2 linked regions of the Drosophila melanogaster genome follow. The protein of the gene in region 2 interacts with the protein of the main gene of each other region in a biochemical or structural test. Each region holds a gene or a part of one and is shown on either strand. Other genes may lie near its edges.

The links. The genes of interacting proteins can lie anywhere in the genome.
Region 1: the proteins of mor (region 2) and Bap60 form a complex in vitro, tested with the Drosophila melanogaster proteins (2 studies listed by BioGRID, with this or other methods).

Annotation. Positions count from the first base shown.
Region 1 is NC_004354.4:13,157,599-13,161,351, reverse strand, and holds the start of Bap60 (brahma associated protein 60kD), read left to right. Parts: upstream 1-1,843; 5' UTR 1,844-1,978; coding exon 1,979-2,086; intron 2,087-2,154; coding exon 2,155-3,438; intron 3,439-3,498; coding exon 3,499-3,654; 3' UTR 3,655-3,753. Other genes in the region: CG12096 (uncharacterized protein), read right to left, coding at 1-262, 319-1,469. UniProt on the Drosophila melanogaster protein: Involved in the recruitment and site-specific anchoring of the Brahma complex at specific promoter sites.
Region 2 is NT_033777.3:15,971,212-15,974,964, reverse strand, and holds the start of mor (moira), read left to right. Parts: upstream 1-2,051; 5' UTR 2,052-2,152; coding exon 2,153-2,269; intron 2,270-2,360; coding exon 2,361-2,486; intron 2,487-2,666; coding exon 2,667-3,591; intron 3,592-3,641; coding exon 3,642-3,753.

The DNA of each region.
Region 1 (3,753 bases), on a different chromosome or scaffold from region 2:
AGCGCTAGCGGACAGAATCTCCATAATTTGCCACTTCATATACTTAATGTCCCTGTGCAGATCCTTTTGACGCGAAAGAAGGAACTCCACAGCACCGCCGGTATTCTTTAGAGCTACAATGCCCCAGTTGTACTTACAAATGGTTTTCAAGAACGACAAGGCGGCCATTTGAAGATCGGGGAACGGAGTGTTTATCAGGTCCATAATGATATTAGCATGCGCTCCCCCAGCGAAGCACTCGTACCAGTTTTTACCAATGTTACTGAAAAAGAAGAGAATCATTAGAAGAAAAACTTCAATTATAGAGTTAAGCATTACATGATTTCTGTGGCAGGCGGCGTCTTGAAGTCATAAATCACATCCAGGGAGTTGAGCAGCCTCTTCTTGATGTGCGCCGATAGCTTCTTAGTATGCGAGCCATACTTCTTAAAGGACTTCTCCATGGCCCCGCTAAAGTGCATGTTCAGCAGTATCTTGCCCTGTGGAGTAGTGGCCAAATTGGCAAGCGTATCCATGGCAGTGGGCAGAATACTCTCATCCTCCGATTGAAGCTGCATGAACAAGCAGGCCAGCATGTGCGGGTAGCCGCCAATGATTTTCAGAGGCTGGTATACGGAAATTTTGCCGAAAAACTTCATAATGCTGGGAACGAGCAGGGCGTCTAGCGGATGCTCTTCGACGCGTTGGACCCGATAGCTGATTATATCCAAAACGCGACGACGTTCCATGTAGGACAGACCATGGTTTTGTTCGGCCAGTGGCACTAGGAGCTCCATTACGCTAGCCTGCAATAAAACATCGTCGTTATCCAGTTCGCTGAGAGCCGCATCCAGAATAAATGTAACGTCACTGAGTAAGGTGGCACTTTTCTTGGCCAGGACCACTGCCAATTCGTAGGCGCGACAGCGCACGATCTCATTTTGCTTTAGGAGCTGTACTAGCTTTGCCTGCACATCGGCATTGCTGATTCGCTGAGGCAGCACGATGGATAGGATATTGATGGCCAGAGAGGTACTCTGCGTATCCGGTTGTTTCAGCTCGTCCAAGATGAGGAAAATAAGCTCATTGTTGGGCAGGGTGAGAACCTGACCGACGGTCAACTGGCGAAGCAGCTTCTTGAACAAACTGGCCAACACCTGGGCACGCAAGGCTGGATTCGAGTGGGTCAAGCCACGTCTTAGCAGACTGGACAGCTGCTCGTCGGCGGTGTCCATCGCCAGCTGATCAAGGCAGTGGCACAGCAATTCCAGGGTCACGTCCACGGCCTGATCCTTGGGAACATGGGAATCCGCGGCGGGATTGGCGCAGTCATACAATTGGTCCGTGGTCAGCAGGCGTTCAATTATTTGACGCGGAAGAGCCGCCTCCTTTGCGATGGCTGAGTTCATGGCGGTCAGCGCATCCAGCCTTTGTGGCTTCGACTCCAGAGCCTTTAACTTGGTGACCCACCAATTGTCTTCCATTTCCATTTGTTTTCTGTGTTAAAATGACAGTCGGTTTCAAACCTATCGTTCTTCGATTTCAGAAGACGTTACTTGTCCGAACTTATTGGCGACTATCGATATTGCTTATGTTTATGGCTTGACACTGCAACTATCGAGCGTTTGGGCAAACCAATGTTTTCGATCGATAGTAGCAAGTGCTAGTATATTCCTTATCGTATTGTTTGTTTGTTACAAATGTCTTGAAAGTTTTTAAGTATATTTTCAAAGCCAACTATATAGCTGTAACTCTATTGAAATGAATAACTTCGATTAAAGTGCAAAATGATAGCCGCAGCCCTGCCAAACGTTGTAATATCTATCGCCCAGTCGACCACCACCAGTAATAGTGCATCCCTGTTTTGACGCCATTTTACAGGCGAAATTGTGTGTGTGTTTGACGCGTTGTTGTATTGAAACAAAAAGGCAGAAATTTTCCTTCGTCTGCAAAGGGCAATTGTTTACGGCTGGAAAAAAGGGAGGACTTCGTAGCAAAGATGTCGCAACGCTTTGCACCTGGCCAAGCGCCGGTGCAGTCGCGTTATCAGCCACCACCACCGGCGCCCGGCATGCGTCCCTATCCGCCGCCAGGCGCCTCTTTTCCAGTGAGTTTTCCACGCATTATCCAGCACCTACCGTTTCAATTAAGCATGTACAATCTTATCCGCAACAGCCGCGCGGGTTTCCCCTGCATCCGAACACTACTCAACCTGTTCCCGGCACGGCGAACGTGGCCGGGGTACCGGGAGTTCCTGGAGTACCCGGCGTACCGGGACCATCGCTACTGCAGCGCGCCGCCCAACAGCCGGGCTTTCAGAGCAGCCTTCGCGGTACTGGAGCCGGAGGTGGCGGTGTTGGATCCGGCGGAGGCAGCAAGAGGTCAAATGAATCCCGCAGTTTGGGTGGCGGTGGTAGCAAAAGTGATTTTGCGACGGCCAAAAAGAAAAAGAAGCTGGCCGAAAAGATACTGCCGCAGAAGGTGCGGGATCTGGTGCCCGAATCGCAAGCGTACATGGATCTGCTGACGTTTGAGCGAAAACTGGATGCCACCATAATGCGCAAACGTCTGGACATCCAGGAGGCCCTCAAGCGCCCCATGAAGCAGAAGCGCAAGCTGCGCATCTTCATCTCGAACACATTCTATCCCAGCAAGGAGCCCACAAATGATGGCGAGGAGGGCGCCGTTGCCTCTTGGGAATTGCGGGTGGAGGGTCGCCTGTTAGAGGATGGCAAGGGCGATCCCAATACAAAGATCAAACGCAAGTTTTCGTCGTTTTTCAAGTCGCTGGTTATCGAGCTGGATAAGGAACTGTACGGTCCGGACAACCATCTGGTCGAGTGGCATCGCACTCACACCACCCAGGAGACGGACGGGTTCCAGGTGAAGCGGCCGGGCGATCGCAATGTGCGCTGCACCATCCTCCTGCTGCTTGACTACCAGCCGCTGCAGTTCAAGCTGGACCCGCGACTCGCCAGGTTGCTGGGCGTACACACACAGACCAGGCCGGTGATCATATCCGCCCTGTGGCAGTACATCAAGACGCACAAGCTACAGGATGCCCACGAGCGGGAGTACATCAATTGCGACAAGTATCTGGAGCAGATATTCAGTTGCCAGCGGATGAAGTTTGCCGAGATACCGCAACGCCTCAATCCGCTGCTGCATCCGCCCGATCCGATTGTGATCAATCATTTCATTGAGAGCGGTGCAGAGAACAAGCAGACTGCCTGCTACGACATCGATGTGGAGGTGGATGATACGCTCAAAAACCAGATGAACAGCTTCCTGATGAGCACTGCGAGCCAACAGGAGATCCAGGGGCTGGACACCAAGATCCACGAGACGGTGGACACGATCAACCAGATGAAGACGAACAGGGAGTTCTTCCTAAGCTTCGCCAAGGATCCACAAATGTTTATTCATCGCTGGATCATCAGTGAGACGAGGGATTTGAAGGTTAGTTCTTTTTTTTTCTTTTTTGCCTCATACCGTTGTCTAAACCTTTCGTCCTTTCAGCTGATGACCGATGTAGCTGGCAATCCGGAGGAGGAGCGTCGGGCGGAGTTCTATTACCAGCCATGGACGCACGAGGCCGTTTCGCGCTACTTCTTCACCAAGGTCAACCAGAAGCGGGCCGAATTGGAGCAGGCGCTGGGCATACGCAACGGCTAGGTGAATGATGAGCTGATCATCTCCACCAGCCAATTCGTGGAGTCCACCGTCAAGAGACCTCCATAAACCGTGCGCACGGCAAACTCTTTTTCCTTCGCC
Region 2 (3,753 bases):
GGCATTGATCGCGCCATATGTTTTTTATATGCGAAGAGTTCAATATTTGCACCATATTTGGCCAATATTGGAACAGCTGTTGCTGCGTATTTTGCACAATGCACGAAATACTGATTGGTATCGAATTAATGGAGCTGAATGACAAACAACGGGCAGCATCATCATCGCAATGCCGCAGTCAAGTTCGGCAAGTAAACTTTGGATATTCAAATGTTCTTTAAGAAACTGTGACAAATGTCGCTGATGTTGCGAACCGCGGGAAAATGGCAAATGCGAAAAAGCTGAAAAGGCCGACCGCCGCCGTTTGAAACTAGTTCAGGTGCCCTACCCCAAGTTGTTGGTAGCAAAAGAGAGAGGGAAGCGGCGACTGCAGTCGATTACGGCAGCGGACCATAAATAAATACAGGTGCTTGTACCGCCTGGCATTGTAGTGCACAGTGAGAAATTCGCTGAAATGCTGTACTGAGATGATTGGTAGTGGTTCAAGGTACGGTAAGATGAGAATTTTTAAATTACTTTGAGATTTGTATACCAAAACATGACGCTCATTTACAATCCAATAATATTTCATGCATCAGAATCGAGTGAGGCTTAAATTTAAGAACTTTTTTCAATAGCTAATATTATGAAACCACATGCTTATTTCTTTCCGTGCACTAAACGTATCGTAATGTGGACGTGGACAGCGAACGCAGGGATTATTGTTAAATGCCACCCACTGAAATCGGAAAAAGAGCCCGATGAATGAACAAATGGACGACACAAATAGCGGCTGGCGAATTGGGCAATGTGTTGCGACTAAAAATACGCGCACTAGAACGGGCTGCCAAGATGAGAGAGACTAGAAGGCGAAGACAAAGAGCTAGTGGTAGACCAAGTTTTTGTAAAGGATTTCCGCTGTTTTGCTGCGTTGGCGCCCACCTCCTCTCTCTCTCCCTCTCTCTCGCTCGCTCTCCTCTCTTATCAATAAACAGAGCCCCTTGGCCCCACTCTATCTATCTCTATCGCACGCACACAAGCAAGCGGAAGCGATAAGTTGCTGCCATATAAATAATGTTGCAATCTAGGATAAGAATTTAGGGGTTCCTTATGTTCCTATTCGCATTCCCACTCCCGATCTCCGAGTGTTATATCACTTACCTTTGGCAATGGTTGCTCTCTCTCGCTCTCTTCCTCTTCGCTTCGCATTTGCTCTTCTCTCCGCACTACGCACTCCTCTTTCTAGTTCCCTTCGTTGTGCGGTAGCAGTCAGCTTATGTGGGGCGCCCACTCACAATTCAACTCATGCGCTCTGCATTTTCTAATTGAATTGTTTGCTCTCAAACTGTACAATCGATGCTGAGTTACTATAGCCGTACGTATGTGTGTGTTTTGGCCCAAGGAAAGGGGTACTGGGTACTGCTTTTCGCCAGCAGCGTCACAAATCAATCCAATCGCTTTTGCTTTCTTCCTACTCACTCGCACTCACGCACCATTGACTTTTTATTTTCACGCACACTGGCACACTCGCGACGGACACACGGATGGGAATCCGGCGTTGCGAATAACGGCAGAATTCGATTTACGGCAATTGTCGTTGGTGGGCGTAGGCAGTCAATGTTTTAACTTAACACTGGGCTTCACGCTGATGCAAACACACTCTGACAGCACAATATTTTTAAGTTTTCGGTTCCCAGCAGCCATGTTAGCGCGATGGAGTCGCATTTATATGTGCGGCCTGACTATCGTGGTGCATCGGTTTTTAGGCGGCGCGAGCGGGACGCCAATACAGCACCACCGCCACTGTGACCAGATGGCATTATTGAATTTAACAGCAATTTTCACATAATAGCTTGTTCCCACTGAGATGTAAAGCTAACTGACACGTTAGCTAGCTATAACTTTTTCGAAGTCTATATAATTCTCTTAACAGCCAATATGTTTTCTTGTTATTTAATATATGGCTTCCACCAACCAATAGGTTTATATATTAACCTAACCTAAGATTAAAATAATGATAACTTTCAGTGGAGATAGCTGAAATATCGATAACGACTGTCACAACAACATCGATTTAAATACCATCTCTATTTTATCAACGCAGCGTTTATTGGCTTTTTGGCGTGGAAAAGTGAAAAGATAATTGACAAAAAGTCCACAAAAGTGCCGCAACATGAACACACTGGGTCCTAAGAAGGACGGAAGTCCGAATATAGACTTTTTCCAGTCGCCGGAGACGCTGCAGGGCTTTGAATCGATTCGCCAGTGGCTGCAGAAGAACTGCAAGAAGGTGCGTGCCAACAACAACGCCGCCGCAAACAAAAATGGCGCTGTCAGGCGGCGAAAAAAAAACGATTTACTCACAACCGTATTTATTGCAGTATTTGGCCCACAGTTCGGAGCCCATCACGAAGGAGTCCTTGGCCCAATTGCTCATTCACTTCCTGCAGTATGTGGAAGCCAAGCTGGGCAAGAACTCAGCGGATCCGCCGGCAACCAGAATTCCGGTTAGTATTGATAGTGCCTGTGGTTGGTGAGGGGGACAGGGTGCCCCGTGTTGCGTGTGTACACGTAAATATTAATCCTCCAATGGCCAAATGTTTGGACCACTAGCTTATATTTTGTATTTAGCTACATGATTTACGTACATTAAAACATATCTCTAATAATCGTACCACCCACACCAGATGCGTTGCTTTCTGGACTTCAAGAGCGGCGGTGGTCTGTGCATCATTTTCTCGACCATGTTCCGTTTCCGGGCCGAGCAACGCGGCAAGAAGTTCGACTTCTCCATTGGCAAGAATCCCACGCGCAAGGATCCCAACATCCAGCTGCTGATCGAGATTGAGCAGGCGTTGGTCGAGGCGGACTTGTATCGCATACCGTACATCTATATTCGGCCGGAGATTGAAAAGGGCTTCGAGGGAAAACTGCGCGAGATCCTGGACAATCGACGGGTAGAGATTGTGTCGGACGAGGAGGACGCCACCCATATCGTCTATCCTGTGGTGGACCCACATCCCGACGAGTATGCGCGGCCCATTTTCAAGCGCGGCGGACATGTGATGCTGCATTGGTACTACTTCCCCGAGTCCTACGATTCTTGGGCTGTGAATAACTTTGACCTGCCCGATCACATTCCGGAGAATCCCGAGTCACCGGCGGAACGTTGGCGTGTGTCTGCATCCTGGATCGTGGACCTGGAGCAGTACAATGAGTGGATGGCCGAGGAGGACTACGAGGTTGACGAACAGGGCAAGAAGAAGACGCACAAACAGCGTATGTCCATAGACGACATCATGTCATTCGGCGACGAGAAGAAGAAGCCTGCTGCCAGCTCGGGCGGAGGCAAGCAGAAGAGACGCCGTTCACCATCTCCCGCCAGTTCGGCATCCACCTCAAAGCCGGGCAAGCGTAAGCGTTCTCCCGCCGTGGTGCACAAAAAGTCGCGCAACGACGATGATGACGAGGACTTAACTCGCGATCTGGATGATCCGCCGGCCGAGCCCAATGTTCAGGAGGTTCATAAGGCAAATGCCGCCTTGCAGTCCACCGCCAGTCCAGCTCCGGGCGGTAAATCTCGTGGCGACAACGACATGATGCCCATTAAAGGTAAGTTTTGTTATCTTATATCTGCATTGACTAAACAAACTGATATCTAGGTGGCACTATGACCGATCTGGATGACGAAATGACTGGAGGAAGCGCCGCTCAAGCCATGTCTACCGGAGATGGGGAAAACTCGCAGACAGGCAAGACAAGTGATAACAGCAA